Macaca fascicularis: one gene and its partners. The protein of the gene in region 3 interacts with the protein of the main gene of each other region in a pairwise test. Links are inferred from orthologs where the notes say so. Each region holds a gene or a part of one and is shown on either strand. Other genes may lie near its edges. The genes, in order: RTN3, CSNK1G2 and CERT1.

What was found.
Region 1: the proteins of CERT1 (region 3) and RTN3 interact in binary tests that used the Homo sapiens proteins (3 or more experiments, as listed by UniProt). The link is inferred for Macaca fascicularis from reciprocal best matches to the Homo sapiens genes CERT1 and RTN3.
Region 2: the proteins of CERT1 (region 3) and CSNK1G2 interact in binary tests that used the Homo sapiens proteins (3 or more experiments, as listed by UniProt). The two-hybrid records come from large-scale screens. The link is inferred for Macaca fascicularis from reciprocal best matches to the Homo sapiens genes CERT1 and CSNK1G2.

What each region holds. Positions count from the first base shown.
Region 1 is NC_088388.1:10,667,644-10,671,290, reverse strand, and holds part of RTN3 (reticulon-3), read left to right. Parts: intron 1-1,668; coding exon 1,669-1,876; intron 1,877-3,647. UniProt on the Homo sapiens protein: May be involved in membrane trafficking in the early secretory pathway. Inhibits BACE1 activity and amyloid precursor protein processing. May induce caspase-8 cascade and apoptosis.
Region 2 is NC_088393.1:2,596,981-2,600,627, reverse strand, and holds part of CSNK1G2 (casein kinase I), read right to left. Parts: intron 2,286-3,647; 5' UTR 2,021-2,285; coding exon 1,834-2,020; intron 1-1,833. UniProt on the Homo sapiens protein: Serine/threonine-protein kinase. Casein kinases are operationally defined by their preferential utilization of acidic proteins such as caseins as substrates. It can phosphorylate a large number of proteins. Participates in Wnt signaling.
Region 3 is NC_088380.1:79,526,132-79,529,878, forward strand, and holds the start of CERT1 (ceramide transfer protein), read right to left. Parts: upstream 2,614-3,747; 5' UTR 2,612-2,613; coding exon 2,526-2,611; intron 2,385-2,525; exon of another isoform or gene 2,273-2,384; coding exon 1,879-2,272; intron 1-1,878. UniProt on the Homo sapiens protein: Shelters ceramides and diacylglycerol lipids inside its START domain and mediates the intracellular trafficking of ceramides and diacylglycerol lipids in a non-vesicular manner.

The DNA of each region.
Region 1 (3,647 bases), on a different chromosome or scaffold from region 3:
TCTTTTCCTGACATAATTATTAATAGTGCCCCACTCACTTTTGAAAGAGTCTCATTCTGTCACCCAGGCTGGAGTGCAGTGGCACGATGTTGGCTTACTGCAGCCTCCACCTCCCAGGTTCAAGTGATTTCTCGTGCCTCAGCTTCCCAAGTAGCTGAGATTACAAGCGTGCACCACCACGCCCAGGTATTTTTTTGTATTTTCAGTAGAGACAGGGGTCTCACCATGTTGGCCAGTCTGGTCTTGAACTCCTGGCCTCAAGTGATCTGCTTGCCTCGGCCTCCCAAAGTGCTGGGATCACAGGTGTGAACCACTGCACCCTGCCAGCCCCACTCACTTTTTTTCTTTTTTTTTTTTTTGAGACAAAGTTTTATTCTGTCACCTAGGCTGGAATGTAATGGCGCGATCTCGGCTGACTACAGCCTCCGCTTCCCAGGTTCAAGCGATTCTCCCACTTCAGCCTCCCGAGTAGCTGGGAGTACAGGCACATACCACCATGCTCAGCTAGTTTTTGTATTTTTAGTAGAGACTGGCTTTTCGCCATGTTGGCCAGGTTGGTCTTGAACTCCTGACCTCAGGTGATCTGCCCGCCTTGGCCTCCCAAAGTGCAAGAATTACAGGCATGAGCCACCATGCCCGGCCCCCACTCACTTTTTTTAAAAGTACTGCAGCTTGGCCAGGCATGGTGGCTCATGCCTATAATCACAGCACTGTGGGAGGCCACAGCAGGAGGATTGCTTGAAGCCAGGAGTTTGAGACTAGCCTGGGCAACATATTGAGACCCTGTCTCTACAAAAAAGATAAAATGTACCTGGACATGGTGGCACATACCTGTAGTCCTAGCTGCTCGGAGGCTGAGGTAGGAGGTTTGCTTGAACCCAAGAGTTAAAGGCTGCACTGAGAAATGATAGTTCCACTGCTCTCCAGCCTGGGTGACAGAGTGAGACGCTGTCTCAAAAAAGGGAGGAGGGGGTATTGTGGCTTAGATAATTATATGGTCCCCTATACATAATCCTTCCTGAATTCTTTTCAGATTAACATCGAGATTGGTGTTTCTTTGTAACTAGCACTAATAGTGCTTGGTCTATTTTTATTTACCACTTTCTTTGCCCCGCCCCAATTTATACACTGGGGCAAAATTAGCTTTGGTTTTATAGTCTGTTCACCCAACTAATTTATAGGTCTGGTTTGCATAATTTAGTTAACAGCAAGATTTTGCCACACCTGCTTTATCATCCTTTCTGCCAAAATATTTAAGGTAAATGGCACTTTACCCCAGTGTATTTCCATAGCTGAAATAAGCTCTTAAATTTTTATAATCCTATCCTGAAACCTAATCAGTGTAGCAGAAGAACCTTTTGCCTTGTGAGTTATCACCCCTGACATAATTTGATTTTCATTTATAAGATTCTCTTAGAACCAAGTACAGTAGCACACACCTGTAGTTCCAGCTACTCAGGAAGTGAAGGCAGGAGGATCACTTGAGCCCAGAGTTCCAGGCCAGCCTGGGCGACATAGTGAGACCACCATCTCTTTAAAAAAACAAAGCCAGATTATCTTAAAGTGGGGCATACCTGTATTTGTGTGCTAATGTGAGGCTCCACAGGTATGCAAGATATAGTAGCTGTGGGCATTTCCTCTAATTTATATTCCCTTTTCTTTTGTCAGTGCACGATCTGATTTTCTGGAGAGATGTGAAGAAGACTGGGTTTGTCTTTGGCACCACGCTGATCATGCTGCTTTCCCTGGCAGCTTTCAGTGTCATCAGTGTGGTTTCTTACCTCATCCTGGCTCTTCTCTCTGTCACCATCAGCTTCAGGATCTACAAGTCCGTCATCCAAGCTGTACAGAAGTCAGAAGAAGGCCATCCATTCAAGTGAGTTGAAGTCTTAAAAGTGACATTCTGCATTTTAGTGGAAGGGTTCACTGAAGCTGATAGGTCTAAAACTCAGACCTGACTAAAAAGCAAGAATTATGGGGCCTGATGCAGCTGGTGGGTGGCATGAAGCATCCCCTAGAGACCTTGAAATCACCTTAAGAAGTGGCCAAGGTAGGAGCCAAGAATTTTTTGACAAATTAGAGGCTCTACTTGAAGTTCAAAGAGGGAGTCCCCGAAGGGAGTCCTTCAAAGAAGACCCTAAATTCTTTTTTTTGAGACGGATATTGCTTTTGTTACCCAGGCTGGAGTACAATGGTGCGATATCAGCTTACTGCAACCTCTGCCTCCCAGGTTCAAGCAATTCTCCTGCCTCAGCCTCCTGAGTAGCTGGGATTACAGGCGTGCGCCACTACGCCCAGCTAATTTTGTATTTTTAGTAGAGATGGGGTTTCTCCATGTTGGTCAGGCTGGTCTTGAACTTCTGACCTCGAACTTCCGCCTGCCTCGGCCTCGCAAAGTGCTGTTTTTTTGTGTGTTTTTGTTTTGTTTTGTTTTGTTTTTGAGACAGTCTCTCAAAAACAGGCTGGATCACGGCAACCTCCGCCGTCCTGGTTCAAGCAATTCTGCCTCGGCCTCCTGAGCTGGGATTACAGGCACACGTCACCAAGCCTGGCTAATTTTTGTAGTTTTAGTAGAGACAGGGTTTCACCATGTTGGTCAGGCTGGTCTTGAACTCCTGACCTCGTGATCCGCCCGCCTCGGCCTCCCAAAGTGCGGGGATTACAGGCGTGAGCCACTGCGCCTGGCGACTCTAAATTCTTGAGCAGGGCAGGGAAAGCAGAGCACCTAGAGCAGCACTCAGTTAGATGGGGTTCTGAGTGCATGTTTAAACCCCCACATGGGTAAGACTTGAAATGACTTTCAAATCTTATTGAGTGTGTGCTGTTGGTAATATCAGAACTCAGTGTTTTTATTATTGGTTTATTACTGATTTCCTCCTTATCTCTTACTAGTTTTCTTAACACTGGAATCTTAATGAAGTCAGTAGATCTTCTGACTACATTTCTAGTATACAATTTCTAGCTTTTCTGATTGTGCTGTAACTTTAACAAATGTTTTCTTCACACTTTCCTCTTGAAAATCTTACCCCATAAACAATGTTGACTTTAACATGAGCAAATGACAGTTTTTTGAAAGCTCTTTTTTCATAGAGAAGGAGACCCTGCTGTGACCTCTCAGGACTACAACAGAATAGGTTTCTGGTCGCACCTATGCTCATTGTATTTTCTCTTGGTGAAAATAGAAGGAATAGCTTACAACTATATGTGGCATTAAAACATTTATTGCAGTTCAGCCGCGGTGACTTACGCCTGTAATCCCAGCACTTTGGGAGGCTGAGGCAGGCAGATTACTTGAGGTCAGAAGTTCAAGACCAGCCTGGCCAACATGGTGAAACCTCGTCTCTACTGAAACTACAAAAATGAGCCAGACACGGTTGCAGGCGCTTGTAATCCCATCTACTCGGGAGGCTGAGACAGGAGAATTGCTTGAACCCAGAGGCAGAGGTTGCAGTGAACGGAGATCCCACCACTGCACTCTAGCCTAGGTGACAGAGTGAGACTCTGTCTCAAAGTATAATAATAATTGCAAATTATGTTTTTTGTTTTTTTCTTTTTATTTTACTTTATTTTATTGTGTTTTATTTATTTATTTATTTTGAGACAGTATCTTGCTGTGTTGCCTGGGCTGGTCACCAGCTCCTGGGCTC
Region 2 (3,647 bases), on a different chromosome or scaffold from region 3:
CCTGCCTACGGGGACCTGCACTGTTCAGCGGCCTGCAACCACCGCTCAAGGACAGGACCCACACAGTCATCTGGGTCCCCAAAAGCCATATCCCGCAGGCTGCAGGTCACAGGGCTGTGCCAGGTGTGTGTGTGCAGATGTGCCTGTGTGCACATGGTTGTGGCTGTGCGTGCCTGTGTGCATGTGCTTTAGTGTGCACATGTACGTGTGTGGGCATGTGTGTACACATCTGTATGTGTCTGCACGTGTGTCTGAGTATGTGCGCACACACACAGGGTTGGGAGGCCACAGCTACCGTCGGGAAAAGCTCACTCTCTTGGCTGAGAAACGGAGCCCGGGGCCTCCCGAGCCACAGGCCATCAGACAGGCAGTGAGGCCCAAGCCCAGCCTCTGCGCAAAAGAGTGGAATCCCAGCAGCCTCCCCAAGGGCTGGGGTGGAATCTGGTTCGGGATGGGGTCTCAAACGGGCCTCCTGGGGCCCCGGGTGCAGCCAATGGGAACACTGAGGCAGCCAACAGTGACCCCGACAGCTGCGCTCGCCTGGGAGAAGCTGCTTGACTCAGGACACACACTTCTGCCACGTAACTGCCTGCTGAACCCACTTCTGAACAGTGGCAACTACCATTCATCCCTATTTAACAGGTGGGTAAACTGAGGCAGGAGGTGGGAAGCGGGGTCACAAAACATGCCTGGGGTCCAGGTGGCTACTGCCCATGCTCCTGCACCCCTGGGCGGCCACTCTTGAAGGTGCAACCACAACATACCCACTGCCTGGGCCTCAGTTTCCCTCATCTGACAACCTCATTGGGCCGAGGGGCCGGATTCCAGTACTGCCTGCCGTGGGTGCCCACGTGAGGCTGATCCACTGCCGTGGCCTCCCAGACCTGCCCATCCTGCGCCCTTTCCCAGAGACCCCGACTCCCACCACGACAGACATTGACCGGGGGTGCACTTGGGTCTTCCGGACAACCCCAGAAACAGACGCCAAATGCCCTCCCGCAGGAGCTCAGGCGTTGGCCGTACAGCCAGCAGCACCAGGAATGAATTTAATATTTCTGGGGATGACCCGGCTGCCTGGCACAGCTAATCACGAACTGCGACTGGCCCCAAACGTGCTCAGAGCTCCCCCAGGCCTGGTGGTCATCTTCAGGCACCCCCACCCAAGGGAAGGCGCCCCTGGCCAGTAACAGGCTCAGTCCTCAGCCCTGCTCCTCACGCCTGCCCGGGCAATCAGATCGCAACCCGGGAGAGGTCAGTGTGAGCAGAAGGCATGGAGCCAGGTGGGCCTGGTGCGGCGTTTTACACGGTGAAGCTGGGAGTGGCACACAGCAGCGTCATCACCACAGAACAGTCACTCCAGTCACCCGACGCTGGCTCCGTGCTGGCGCCTGCGGTTAAGGCCAGGGCTTTGCCCAGCACGGACATGGGCTGTGGAAGTCATTCATGACTTAATACTCGGACTCCTTGCGGCATGGCCTGGCCTGCTCTGGGCCACCTGCCTCCCAACTGAATTGTTTCCCGAAAAGGAGACAGGGCCAGAAACCCACTGTCCCCATGGGGCTTCCTCGAAGGGAAGTGACACTCATACCACGATGGACCGATGATTCAACACATGCCAGTGACCCGGGGTGGCCTCGCCGGAGGCTCCGGTGACCCCGTGTGGCCCCGCCGGAGGATCCCGTGACCCGGGGTGGCCCCACTGGAGGCTCTGGTGACCCCGTGCGGCCCCACTGGAGGCTCCGGTGACCCCGTGCGGCCCCACTGGAGGCTCCGGTGACCCCGTGCGGCCCTGCCAGCAGCCTCCCACCCCATCAGCCACGAGCAGGGCCTCACCTAGGCGGAGCTCCCCGAAGTTGCCGCAGCCGATCTTCTTGCCGACGCGGAAGTTGGGGCCCACCATCAGGACCCCCGAGCTGGTCCCCGAGCTCCGGATGCCGTGGCTGCTCCGGCCCCCGCCGGCCTTGGACATTCTCCGGCCCTCCTCTGTCTCCCCTTTCCCTCCTTTCTTGTCAAAATCCATAAGTTTGTGATACCCTGGCCTCTCCACGGTGGCTCTGCTGCCGTGCAAATCCCAAGTCTCTGGAAACCTGAGGTCTTGGCTCCTCTGTGGCTAGAACATCACCGCGGCTGGCGGGCGGGCGTGGGCCCGCGGCTCCCGGCTACTGAGACGCAGGCACTGGGGCCGGCCAGGCCGCGGTGCTCATCTCAGTGGCCTTGGGGTGGCTCTCGGGGGCAGGAGACATTCTGTTGACAGGTCCCACCGCCTCAAAGCTCACGGCTCACAGCTGTGGAGAAACAGAGGCACAGGTGAGCGCCGGCGAGGACACGGGGCGGAGGCCACAGAGGACGCAGCCAGGGGGCTGCCGGGCTGGAAGGAGCTCTGAAGGCCGGGACACGACAAGCACTGTCCGTGCCCAGAACGCGGCTGGGAAGCACGTGCCACATGACATTAGAGGCCAGAGGTCTCGGCGTGGCTGCCTAGAGACTAACAGGGTAGGGCTCAGGGGCCTTTCTGTGAAGCGAGATGGGTGGGTGGGTGGCACAGGTGGGAGAACGTACTGCTGGGAGGGCATGACTGCCCATCCCGGGGAGAGGCCCTGAGGATCCTGAAGCCAGGGGTCAGTCCCACCCCCAGACACAGAAGGGCCACACAACAGTCCCCATCTCCAGGCCCAGGGCTGCTCTGAGAAAGAGGGAGGGAGGCAGACGACAGCAGGCAGACCTGAGGCAGGGACACGGAAGCCACAGAGCTGCCCCTGCCCATGGCGGCCAGGGGACACTGAAAGTGGGGAGAGTGGACCGGAGAGCAGGAGGCCCCAGCGAGCCGTAAGCTGCTGCAGGAATCCCCACGGCCTGACCCAGGCTCGGGTCGTTCTCCAGTAGCCACTGGTGGAGCGGGGCAGGCTGGACACCACTCGGGGCTGTGACAATGCCAGGGTGGGTCCCACCCAGCCCCTTCAGTGCAGAGCGGAGCTGAGAAGGGTATGGCGGGGCCTGAGGGAGGCAGGTGAGGAGGGGCCACGGGTGCACAGCCATCGCCGAAAATGTTAGGACAGGAACTCCCAGCTGAATAAGCCACAACAGAAACAAAGGCACCAGCGTCACAAGCACTGCCCCACTGCACGTGGCAACCGTGTTCTGGTACGAGAAACACCCTGAGGTGATCGCAAGCGTGCCTTGGGGTTCCACACGGCAATAGCCACTCAGATGTTTTCGTTTCCTGGTGCGCACAAAAGTTACGTTCACAGTGTACCACGGTATGCGGACACACTTTAATTAAGTGGGGCATGGTGCCGCAAGCCTGTGGTGCCAGCTAGTCGGGAGACTGAGGCGGCAGGATCGCTTGAGCCCAGGAGGCGGAGGCTGTAGGGAGCCATGATCGTACCACTGCACTCCAGCCCGGGTGATACAGCGAGACCCCATCTTAACTAAATAATAGAGAAATAAAAATACTTTACCGCTAAACAACGCTAACGATCGTCGGACTGTGAGTGCGCCCTAATCTCCCTGGAGGAGGGTCTTGCCTCGACGTGGACGCCGGCTGACTCATCGGGGCAGCGGCTGCCGGAGGCGAGGGCAACTTCTTAAACTATGACCACAAAAAAGTCGGCCGCAGCAACTGACTCTTCCTTTCATCAAAGATTTCT
Region 3 (3,747 bases):
AATTACCAGGTGAATATGAAGAATTCAAAATATATAATTTACATTTAAAAACATGCACCATACTCAGTATGAGTATATATATTCAATTTAGAATACCCTTGATTAAAAAGTTTCCAGAAAACACTGTATATAACCATAAATTGGTAAATCTCAGGAAAATTTCCTTCATAGCTATTAGCAAGAATACCAAAAGCTGTATTCCTATTCATTCTACATAAGAAGCAACAGTCAAAATTTAAGTTATTCACCTTCCACAGAGGTGATCAAATGCATTTGTATGCATTTAAATATCGAGATTGGTCTTCCATTTTTTGATCTATAGTATACCTACTCCACATAAAGTAAAACTCAGAGCACTGGTGACTTTTTCCCCCAGTCACTCCATTCCCCCAACCCCCAAAAAAGTAATTATCAGTAGGTCAAAATTACAATTTGTTTTGTAAAATACTCAACACATCACAATACTAATATGGCAGTCAGCTTCCCATCTTATGAGCAGTGATGAAACTATCAAAATCACTGAGAAGCAAGTAACCCACTTCCTATTATCAACTGAAAATGTGTACCTACTACACAATGTGTTCAATAGAGATTCCTAAATTACAGGATACATTTAATGTAAAGAAATCCTGAGGAGCTTCTCGTTACTGAAAACCTTGCATTGAAATTTCAAGAATGATCACAGCATCAATATACAACTAATTTTTCGGCTATACAAATAAAAGTCAACACTTGCAATCCTTAGTTCTGACTACTCATGCCTTTTCTAGTTCCCTTCTCATTAGCTTTCTACAGACATTATAAAAGCATTATATTAAACAATTCCACAAATAATGTCCAAGTGATGTGCCAAAGTATGAATACTGGAAACAGGGTGATTTCTTAATAGCCAGTAGCTGCACATGACATAGTATCTTATGACCAGCTTGTTGAGGGACTGGCCCAGCTCCCCCTCTCCAAGTTAACTGCTAGCTCCAGCCATTTCTAAAAAAGTTTAACAGGAAGGGGGAGAGAAGTCCAAAAGGCTATGTGAATCTTCTTATAGCAAAAACTTAAAAAAAAAAAAAATCCCAACCATGTAATATCAAGAGATCACCCATCCGCAGTTCTATAATGGCTGCTTTCCTAAAATTTTGATACACGGATTTTAAAAAATACATAAAAGGTAAAACATCTTTTCCCTACCCTGGACCCCTTACCGCAAAAAGAGTTTATTATTAAATAATGCTCTTCTTCCTGGACTAAAGATCAGTCTCCTTTCTCACATGTTTCAAGTTACTATGAATATTTCCTGTACCCATCACGTGCCGATTCAATATCTCTATTCTGAACTAAGGTACAGGGTGAGGGAGAAAGTCCTCCACATTAATCTGTCTCACTACATCTAACCTGGCGAGTTCAACACCTCAAATTTCAACACCAAGCTGAGTCGCTCCGGCTTCTGTCGAAACAGCTGCGTCCGCAGTGCCCCCCAACCTACTCGGCTTGGCATCCTCAGACAGACCAACCTCTTTTAAGAGGTCCGACTTGAACCGCTCCCGTGCCCAGTCGTTCGGACACCGCTGAAGCCCAACCCGGATTCCTTACACCCGGGACAGCTGCCGCCCTAGGTCCCAAGGCACGGCACGCATCTGGTCTCCCAAACTGGATCCCCGGTTGATACACCCTTTCCCTGGTCCTCGGCTGCCCCCGACGAGCCCTCGGGCAGCAAGGACAGGCCCCCTATATCCCCGCCTCATCCCTAGTCGCCGCAGCAGTACTCAGCCTCGCACCCCGGCACGTTCCGCGCCTCCCGCCAGCCCCACCCCACCGCCTCAGCGGATTGCCTCGCGGCAGGTGAGTCTGGCCAGGGGTCCCCTGGCACCACCGGTTGCTCACCTTACTGAGGACCCCGCAGCGCTCCACAGGCGGCCCAGATTCCGTCTCTGGATCCTCCTCCGAGCCCGACGAGTTCCAGCTCTGATTATCCGACATGGAGGCGCGACAGCCGAGCAGGAGACCGGCCCCCGCTCCCTCAACTGCGCCGGAGGAGGCGCCCAGTCCTCGGGGTGAAGGGTCGGGGGATGGCGAAGCGAAGAGTGCCAGCTCCGCTGTGGGGGGGAGCAGGAGGAGGGACGAAGTCCGCTCGCCGCGCCGCCGCCGCGCCTGACACCGAGCGGAGCGGGGAAGGAGGACGAGCGGTGAAGGAAGCCTACCCTTCCAGCCGTCAGCCGCCGCCGCCGTCGCCGGGACCCCTGCGTTGCGCCCGGTGCTGCCACCCGAACTTAGACCCCTCGATGCCAATTTCAAATAGCGAAGGAAAAGGGAGAAGAAGGGAAGAGAAAATCCGGCCGCTGAGACCCGAGTACACTCACACCTCCGCTACCGCCGCCATCTTGCTGCCTGGCCCACTATTTACCCTCCCCTCCCCTGTCCTTTCCCCTCCCCTTCGTCCTCCCATTCTCCCCTCCTCCTCCCCGCCCCGTCCCCCTCCCGGCGTCTGACGCGACACGCCAAGCGTGCGGGATCCTCCTCCCGCACCCTACCTCCGGCTCTCCCGGATGACGAGGGGTAGAAAAGTAGGAGGAGCGCAGTAAGGAGAGGGCGGGATAGGGATGCCGCTGTGCTGCATTCTGGGAAGGGCGTTGGTTCGTCGCTCGCCCAGCCTCCTGGGAGTTGTAGTCGCGATCCTGAGGTAACGGGTGAGTATCCCGCGCGGGGATCGCTTGTCGCCTTGGGGACTTGTCAGTCGGTGGGTGGGCTTCGTTTGACAGTTGCGTGACCTGCCTCTTGGCCTCGCTTCTATCCTTGCCTTGTGTGTTTATGACGAACCCTCCGGGCTTGCGGGCCAGGACGTGAGAGAGCTTTCTGCTGAAGATGACGGGCCTGCGTTGCAGGGCTGCTTGTCGAAAGCCCGGGAGCGCGTAGCCGCTTCCGCCTCAACCACGGGATGGGGTTTTGTGAGCTCCTAGTGCCAAGGGGGTTTTCTTTCCACCAGACCACCGCTGTAAATCTCGAGGGTCTTACCCATTAGAAGTTAGAATTCACATTTGACGTTTAAAGGAAGAATTTCCTTAGTACCTTCTGACAAGCACGCACTTCGCATTTTTAGATTTCTAGAATTTTCTTTGTGGAAAGTAATTTTGAGGTTGTCAGAGAATAAATAACGTTAGAAAGGTTTTTAAAGTAAAACAAGAATGTCAGATGATAGCCTGGGATTTTCTCTTAGTTGTAAATGAATATCTTACTGAGAACCACGTTAACCATGCCTGCCCCTCAAAGATAGGAAAGTTTGGATATATAGAAACTTTCTCGTATTAGAAATACGAGATTAGGGGATTAGGCAATAGGTGGCTATTTTTAAGACTAGGGTTGAATTAGCAGAAAGACCAAAAGAAGATCTAACAGCTCTTGTCAGTTGTCAAGGATAACTTTGATGGTGAGACCTTTGACTTTGTAGCTTCAGTAATTTCCTCTCGTTAGCTATTTTAATATAGTCGAGTTCCTGATAATTGCCAAGAGTAAAATTTGTTATTAAGCCTTAGAAAGAATACCTTTTTTACTACAAGGATGGGACAATAGGAGCGAAATTTCGAGTCTAAGGGAAAACGCTAGCCGAGTGCCGTGGCTCACGCCTGTAATCCCAGCACTTTGGGAGGCCGAGTTGGGTGGATCACCTGAGGCCGGGAGTTTGAGACCACCCCGTCTCTACTAAAAATACAAAGATTAGCCGAGCAGGGTGGCGGGTGCCTGTAATTCCAGCTCTTT